2 linked regions of the Rattus norvegicus genome follow. The protein of the gene in region 2 purifies or fractionates together with the protein of the main gene of each other region. This does not show direct contact. Links are inferred from orthologs where the notes say so. Each region holds a gene or a part of one and is shown on either strand. Other genes may lie near its edges.

What was found. Proteins that work in one complex are often made in the same cells at the same time.
Region 1: the proteins of Junb (region 2) and Atf3 purify together in Homo sapiens (affinity purification with mass spectrometry; 3 studies listed by BioGRID and IntAct, counting the BioPlex papers as one, with this or other methods). This does not show direct contact. The link is inferred for Rattus norvegicus from reciprocal best matches to the Homo sapiens genes JUNB and ATF3.

Annotation. Positions count from the first base shown.
Region 1 is NC_086031.1:105,281,579-105,286,215, forward strand, and holds the end of Atf3 (cyclic AMP-dependent transcription factor ATF-3), read right to left. Parts: intron 3,671-4,637; coding exon 3,563-3,670; intron 2,245-3,562; coding exon 2,047-2,244; 3' UTR 859-2,046; downstream 1-858.
Region 2 is NC_086037.1:40,079,261-40,083,587, reverse strand, and holds Junb (transcription factor JunB), read right to left. Parts: upstream 2,463-4,327; 5' UTR 2,193-2,462; coding exon 1,158-2,192; 3' UTR 678-1,157; downstream 1-677. UniProt on the Homo sapiens protein: Transcription factor involved in regulating gene activity following the primary growth factor response. Binds to the DNA sequence 5'-TGA[GC]TCA-3'.

The DNA of each region.
Region 1 (4,637 bases), on a different chromosome or scaffold from region 2:
GAAGACAGCTACAGTGTACTTATATAATAAATAAATCTTTTAAAAAAAAAGTGCATGTCTTAGGTGTATTTCTGTGTTCAGAGAAACTGGCGGCTGAACTACTTAGCAGTTTGGATTCTATATCAAAATTCTATCATAAGCCAGGCATGGTGGTGCACCCCTTTGAACCAGCATTCCGGAGGCAGATCAGCGAACGGTCTGGCCTGTGTACTCTGTTCCAGGTCACCTAGGGCTACATACTGAGACCCTGACTCAAAGCAAACGAAAATCTATCTTAGCACCAAACAGGTGGCTTGAAGGACACACCTGTAGCGTTGTTTCGGGGTTTGTCAATGAGAGGCACGGAGTGGGAAGTCACCCACCTGGGCTGCAGAGCTGGCTCAGTATTTAAGAGCTCTTCTGGTCTCTGTGGGCAACTGCATTCATGTACACCACACACACACACACACACACACACACACACACACACACACACACACACACGATTATAAATAAAAATAAATGGAGGTGGTGAGATGGATCAGCAGTTAACAACAGTACTTGGTGCTCTCGGGGAAGATCTGGGTTCCGTTCCCAGCAACTACATGGTAGCTTGCAACCCCTCTGAAACCCCAGTTCCAGGGAACCCAATGCCCTCCTCTTCTGGCCTCCCCAGGCACTGCATGCACGTGGCACACAGACATACATGCAGACAAAATACCCATACACATAAAATATGAATTACTAACTGCCCTACCTAGTGGTCTCCCCATGAACGAAGGAAGCCATCCGTCCCCAAACACTCAGTGCTGACCACCCCATGACAGAAAGGCATCATCACCATTTCAACACTCAGCAGAAACCAGTGCCACGCTAAGGTTTACCAGGTCTCATTCTGATATTTTATTACGTTGACAGGCTAGGAATACTGGGATAAATAAGTAACGTTCTCTCTTACAGAAAACTGTAATATACTACTGAGTCGGATTGAACACTGAGGATTTCACAGAAACATCAGAATTTTAACAGTAGCCAGAGCCCTGGTGGCCAGTGGGAGGGACCTCCCAGCTGAAATACTCTGGACCGCATCTCAAAATAGCTTCAAGACAAAAGCGCAGTTAACATCCCACAGTGCAGACACCTTCCTTGCCCCACTCCTGGCTTCAAATACCAGTCTCCACGGGCTGTGGTTTTTGGTGGGAAGGAAGGGAAAACGGAGAATCCTTGGCTCTTCCTGCCCTGTCACTGAGTGTGGAGTCCTACGCCCTTTGAAAGCGGGACTTTGTGCCTTCGTTCTGTGACATTGTAACAGTTTGTAGCCAAGGACAGCTGCTGTGCCCGGGTTCTTCCTCAGCAGTGGGTACAGGGGAAGGAGGCATCAGTCCTCGGTCAGCACAGAGTAGCACAGCTGGTCATCAGCCAGTTTACATGGCCACCCAAACACTTTTGGGGGATATTGTCCACAGTGGCAGACCCCCAAACTCTCGGAAATCAGGTCTGATGAAACTCCCGGAAAAAAATCACGCCAATGTTGTGCAAGACAAACATCTAAATAGCACAACACCAGGCTCAGAAATGAATGCCCTATGCACAGTCAGTCTAGGACAGAACAGCATAGTTTCTAGAAAGCATACCCTGGCCATTGGACAACTTCAATGATGAATGTTCTCACTCCATCTTCCCTAGGAGGGATGTTGTCAGCCGCAGTGGAGGACGTGGTCCCACCCCACCTGTCAAGGTAGACACTTCTGCCTGCATCCCATTAGTGCGATCCTGCTTTGCATGGGACCCCAGCCTGGGGCCAGCTAGGTCATCTGAGAATGGCCGGGATGGTAAGGCCTAAATCCTGGAGCCGGTGAGACAAAGGATGCTCCTGCCTGCTCCACGGTTCACTCGGGGACAGAGTGGGACAACGCAGTAGTCACCGCAGGCCCTCCTGACCCAACAGCTCGTGGCTGCTGAGATTCTAGAAGTGCACAGGAAGCCAGTTTTCCAATGGCTTCAGGGTTTGGGGTGGAAAAGGAGGATTCAGTAAGGACTCCCCAATTGCCCCCATGCCACCTCTGCTTAGCTCTGCAATGTTCCTTCTTTTATCTGTTGGATAAAAAGGTTCCTCTCGTCTTCCGGCGTCCGCCCGTTCTGAGCCCGGACGATACACGTGGGCCGGTGCAGGTTGAGCATGTAAATCAGATGCTGCTTCTCATTCTTCAGCTCCTCGATCTGGGCCTTCAGTTCGGCATTCACACTCTCCAGTTTCTCTGACTCCTGAGGGATGATCAACAGACAGCAGCATTATGGAGGGAGCCAAGGGGCAGGGAGATGGGGGGCCACCTGGAATCCTTGGGGCTCCCCAGACTGAGACCTGCTAGCAGAACCGTCCTACCACAAGGATGGGAGGACCAAACTAGGTGGAAGGTGGAAGGTACAGGGTTTCCTGTAGAGGGCTCTGAAGTTGGGAGACGTGAAAGAAAGCTTAGGGACAGCACCGAGCCGGGCGCCCATGCTCGATGGAACTGCACCAAGGGCTCAGAGAGAGCTGCTCTAGTTCACTGCCCGTGGGGAAGGCATCTGGGCCCCACAGGATCGTGGGAGCTATCGAGGAACCCAAACGGGTGGTGTGGAGTTGTCTTTGAATTTCTGATCTCACCAAGACTCCCATGTCCACAGACGTATTCTCAGAAACACCAAAGCTGCCCAAGTTTTTTTTCACTGACCCTGAAGTAGCGAGCAGACAACCCAGGCTTTTACATCTCTTTGAGAAGCTGCCCTGCACACACTTGGGAGAGCAGACATGGCCCCTGCAAAGACTTCCAGGCTCTGTAGCTTGCCTTGCCTGTGAACCCATGCTGTACCCCTGGTGCTTGGTGTGGGGTGTCAGCCTCCCAGGGTGCTCAGTGCTGGATAAGCATGGAGTAGAGAGGAGGGTTCAGATCCAGGGAGGAGCACTGTAAGCACCACTTCAGCACCGTAACTTGAAGAGATTAATGCAAGCTTTTCCTGAGAGCCAAAGGCAGTGGCAGGGCTTTGCAGTTTGTATTTGTTAAAACTGATGAGTAAAGTCTCTTTAAATAGGCTGGTGTGACCCGCAAGTCTAGAAACTGCTGGGGATTTGTGCCACAGCATGCATGTGGAGGTCAGAGGTCACGTTTAGAAACCAGTTCTCTCCTTCCACAGCGGGTTCTGGGTGTCAAACTAGGGTGCCACATATGCATTGCAAGGACCTTTACTCATGAGCCAGCTTGCTGGCCGTGTGTGTGTGTGTGTGTGTGTGTGTGTGTGTGTGTGTATGTGTATGTATATATAAATGGATATATATATACACATATGCCTATACATGTGTGTGTATGTATGTGTACACATATACATCTCCAGAATCGCTTCCACCATGCTTTTTTTTTTTTCCTTCGGAGCTGGGGACCGAACTCAGGGCCTTGTGCTTGCTAGGCAAGCGCTCTACCACTGAGCTAAATCCCCAACACCCCCCTCCCCCCCTGCTTCCACCTTGCTAATAGCTTTGCTCTACCCTCTGCCTACAGCTGGCATTTCCCTCCCCTCAGGGGAGGTTGGGCCAGGCGGGACTCACCTTCTGCAGGCACTCTGTCTTCTCTTTTTTCTTGTTTCGACACTTGGCAGCAGCAATTTTGTTTCTTTCCCGCCGCCTCCTTTTTCTCTCATCTTCTTCAGGGGCCACCTATAAAATCCGAAAGGCACACATTTAAATACCAAGGCTGTGGGGTCTTGTGTGCTGTGGGGTCTTGTGTGTCTGTATATCTGCTGTCTGTGTATATATCTGCCACGTGCATTCATGGTGATTTCAGAGACCAGAAGTCAGTGTTGGATCATCAGCAGCTGCTGTGAGCCACCCATTGCACATGCTGGGAGCTCCAGTCCCCTGGAAGAGCGGGAAGTGCTCTTAACCACGGCGCCATCTCTCCGGCCTCGGGCCTGAGGGTTTTGTATGATCTCCCGTCACACGCATGTGCATTCACACATGTGAGTAACAAAATCTAAGTCCTGTTCAGTAAAATGGAATTATATTTGAAATTAGTAAATTAAAGTCTGCTTTAAAGACACAAGACCTGCCTTTAAAATGCATTTGCACTTTGAAACAAGAATTTGAATTTTAAATTAATAACCACTGAATTAATTAACCACTGAAGCTAGAATCAGAAATGACCACATTGCCCCTTAGCCACACTCTCCTGAGAGCGGTGCTGTTTGAGGAGGTTGTGGAACCTTTGGGGTGGGAAACATGACTGACAAGGGTGGATTGTGGCATAAAATGGGTGTTGGAGGGTTTGAACTCCAAGCCTACTTTATCTATCTGAGCTTTGCTTCTTGAGCTAAAAAGATGTATACAGGCCCTCACCACCGGGCATAAGCCCTTACCTGAGCACCAGCCCTCACCACTGGACACAAGCCCTCACCACTGAGCACCAGCCCTCACCACTGGACACAAGCCCTCACCACTGGACACAAACCCTCACCACTGACACAAGCCCTCCATCAAGCACCAGCCCTCACCACTGAGCACCAGCCCTCACCACTGGACACAAGCCCTCACCACTGGACACAAACCCTCACCACTGACACAAGCCCTCACCACTGAGCACAAGCCCTCACCACTGGACACAAACCCTCACCACTGACACAAGCCC
Region 2 (4,327 bases):
CGACTTCTGGCCTGGCACAAGGGAGGGGGACACTGGCGGGCGGGCGCCGCCCTTCCTGGCGGGAGCAGCCCTGACGGCGTCTGTAACTACAGGGAGGCTGCAGTTACTCTCCGCCAGGGTCGGTCCAATGGAGGGGGCGTGGGCGCGGCGGGGCTCAGGCGCCAGCCTGTTAAAAGCCGCTCGGGTGGCTCCCAGGGCTCCGGAGAGCACAGCCCTCCCACCGCGGGCGCCCTGGACCCCGGCCTGGGGCTTTCCGCGCCCAGAAAGCCGCCTGCCCGGGAAAATCCCGGCCCCCTTCCCGGCGCCGCGGCCCTGCCCGGCAGAGAAGGGGGAGGGGATTCCCGGAATCTGCCCGGAGACCGCGCTGGCGTCACTGAGCTGAATAGGCCCATATATGGGCAGCGCTTCCGTAACGTCAGCGGGGAAAGCCCCGGCGCACGGGGCTGGGCGGGGCCGTGCTTGCACATTCCGGGTTTTGTCCTGGGCCTGGATAGCTTGTTCTCGGCCACTGCCTGCCTGCGCAGCGTCTGGTGCCAGGACTCAGGGGATGGGAGGTTTGAGCGCTTGTACTGGACCTTAAGATACCCGAAAGGAGAGAACTACAAACTGCCCCGGGCTTGGGGCAGCCCAATCTTCTCCCTCCATCCGCCCAGCTTGGAAGAAAGAGACCACAGAAATTAATAAAGACTTTTTTTTTACTTAAATAGATTCAATAAAAAGTCAAACACACACACAAACACATCTTAAAATAGACTTTAGACACGAAGTGCGTGTTTCTTCTCCACAGTACTGTGCAGAGGGGGAGGGCAGGGGGCGGAGGTTCCTCCCTAGTATCCCCACAGGCTGAGTACCAGGCGGCGGGGCCAGCTCCGCCGCGACAACCCCCTTCTCCCCTCCCTGTTAAATACACAAATATATTATATTCAATATGAATTCAGTCTCTTTCCAGAAAAAAAAAACATACAAAATACGCTGGAAGGGGGCCATGTAAACCTCGAGGTGGAAGGACTGGGCGCAGGCGGGCAGGCCAGAGTCCAGTGTGTGAGCTGCGCCCCAGACCTCTGGGCGAGTGCCCATCGCCTGCCCCCCTCACCCCAGTGGGGGGCGGGCGCCCAGCCTTCAAGGCTGGGGGTGTCCGTATGGAGCAAGGGAGGCTCTCAGAAGGCGTGTCCCTTGACCCCTAGCAGCAACTGGCAGCCGTTGCTGACGTGGGTCATGACCTTCTGCTTGAGCTGCGCCACTTGCTCCCGTAGGAGGCCGGCAGTACTTGACAGCCCCGCGTTCTCAGCCTTGAGTGTCTTCACCTTGTCCTCCAGGCGCGCGATGCGCTCCAGCTTCCGCTTCCGGCATTTGGTGGCCGCCAGCCTGTTCCGCAGCCGCTTTCGCTCCACTTTGATGCGCTCCTGGTCTTCCATGTTGATGGGGGACACAGGCGGCGTGGCGTCGCGGCTGCGTGCCTCCGGTACGGTCTGCGGTTCCTCTTTAAAGGCGGAAGCGCCGCGACTCAAGCCCAGCTGCGCCGGGTGGCCGCCCGCAAAGGGTGGTGCATGTGGGAGGTAGCTGATGGTGGCCGTCGGGTATGAGCTCCCAGTCCCGACGGCGGTCCCGGAACCTCCAGAGGGTGCAGAGGCTGGGGAGTAACTGCTGAGGTTGGTGTAGACCGGAGGCGGCTCCGGACCAGCATAGACGCCCCCAGGCCCGGCCTGGGGACCCCCGCTGGCGCCCAGAGACACGTTGGGGGGCGTCACGTGGTTCATCTTGTGCAGGTCGTCCAGGGCTTTGACAAAACCGTCCGCAAAGCCCTCCTGCTCCTCGGTGACGCCGCCCCCTGTACCTCCGCCGCTGCCGCCCCCACGGGGGTAAAAGTACTGTCCCGGAGGCGTGGGCGTCGTCGTGATCACGCCGTTGCTGTTGGGGACGATCAAGCGCTCCAGTTCCGTGGAGGCTAGCTTCAGAGATGCGCCTGTGTCTGATCCCTGACCCGAAAAGTAGCTGCCTGCCCCACTGCCCTCTGGGCCTGGACCCCGCGCCCCAGGACCCTTGAGACCCCGATAAGGATCTGCCAGGTTGAGCGCTAAGGTGGGTTTCAGGAGTTTGTAGTCGTGAAGAGAAAGACTGCCAGGGCTCCGACCGTATCCTGCCGCTGCGTATGAGTCGTCGTGATAGAAAGGCTGTTCCATTTTCGTGCACATCCGGGCGGCCTGGGCGATCTGGGAAAGGTCCCCCTGAAGGGCCGCTCCGGGCCTCGCTGCGGCGACCGGCGAGCTGTCCTCGGCTGTGGCGGGACCCGGCGTCCGGTCGCGCGTCCTCGGGAGCTGGAGACGGTCGGCAGCGGCCAGTTGGTAGCTGTGCGTAAAAGCGCTGCCCGGCTTCTGGAGCTTTTCTCTCCCTCCGTGGTGCGCCCGCTTTCTCAGCGTCTCTTCTCTCAGCTCCCCGCTCCCTGCAGGATCCAAAGCTGGCCTGGCCACCCTCAAGGTCCCCAGTGTTCGGCCCCAGCCCCAAGCTTTTATACTGAATTTGTCAGCTGCGGAAGTGCACTCCGATTGGCCGACGCGGGAGCCAGGCCCCCGCGGCCCCCTCCTAGAGCGTGGGGAAGGGGAGGAGGCGGCTCGCGTCACTGTCAGGAAGCGCGTGTCCTTGTAAACAGCGGCCACGAGCCCGGTGGCTCTGCGCGGCTGCAGGGGGAGGGGCTGTAGAGACAGAGACACTCAAGCAAAGGGATGTTGAGGGACCGAGGCACATAGGAGTTAGGACTGCGGGAGTACAACCCGGTGGCTATGAGATCTCTGTACACTGCAAGTGGAGATGGGGTGCCTCAGGATATACCCGGAATAGTCTCGCGGGACCCACAATAGCTGTGACTTGTGAACTGACAATATACTAGAAGACCCCAGAAAACAGGGAAGGTACAAAACGGGAGCAATTGTTAACATTTGACCTAGGAATTAACTAGAGGCCCCGAGTGCAAAGTGCTTAAAGAACAGGTGGGAGAGAAGGTTCAGGAAGCAGGGTCAGGTACCTATTGTATAAGAAATGAGTAGGGGCTCTAAAGCCCACAGATGAGTCTGAGGGTTCTCCCATAAGTGGAAAAGGGGAGTAATTTTGGGGAGGTCAATTTAGATATGCAGAAAGTGAACAAGGGTCCTGGAAACGCTGAGGCAATAGGAGTAGAAGATGGGAACATATCTAGCAAAGATTGGGGTCACTGTGATTATTTGCAGAACTCTGATGGAAAGTTAAAATGGTCAGGACATGGCTTCCTTCTGAGCTGTAAAGGCGATGCCAGGAGGGTATCTGAGATCTACCCGAGAGGACGACTTGGAGGATCCCAGAGACAAGGGGCTTGTAAGAATGAGACTGTACCTCGTAAGTGGTCTCTAGGCACTGACATACCCTGTACCTGAGTCCAAAGCCTCCCCTTAGTCACTCTGGGCTCGCCCGATATCCTGTCAGCTTTTGGAGGGCCGAAGAGGCGGGATAGCTGGGGTGCGGTCGCCCAACCCCACTCCCTTCCTTAGAAACAGGCTAGGGAAAAAGAGCCGAGGCAGGAAGTGTGGCAATAGCCCGGAGGGGGAAAGAGCCCGGCCCTGTCTCGTCATTCTGAGCCTAAGGGTTGGTGCACCCTAGCCTGGGCCTGCCAAATTCTGCGCCTGGGAAGAGGAACCCCAGCGAGCGACCCCTGGGGAAGTCACAATCCAGCTGAGTACGCCTCTAGTCATAGTCTACTCTCCCCCCATCTAGAAATGGTTCAGCTTGCAACCTTGGGCGATTACTAGGCCTGGCAGCCGAGGACTGTTCCATTGGCCCGCTGGAGGGGGATGAAGCCTGGGAGCGGGGCCTCGTCACCAAGGCAACAGGCTGGAGTCCGTGAATTGGATTGGGGGCGGGGCAAACCCCCCGAATTTCTCTCCCCAGCATCCATATTAGGGCACAGGAAGAGGTGGTACCAGTGCAGTCTTGGGGCGGCAAACTAGGAGCCAGGAACCCGAGGTATTTGCCAGGTCCCAGGGCGCGCCAGGGCCCCGGGACGGCTAGTCCAGACCAGCCTCCACCGCCACCCCCGGGCTCCCCCGCCTCCCGGCGGCCTGGCCCAGCCCCTCGGAACAGCTCTGGGGCTGAGCCCTGTCCCGCCCGACCTGGTCGGACCCAGCCTGGCAGGTCCTCGCCTGCCCGAGGGCCTGGGTCGGACTTTGCCCCCGGCCCGTCGGGGCGCGGAGGGGGCGGGATAATGCTTTCAGGCATCCCAGGCGCCTGGGCAGGCTGGTACAGAGCTGCCTCCTCCCCTGGGTATGTGCCCTTCCCTTCTACCAGAAGGTCTAGGGTCCCC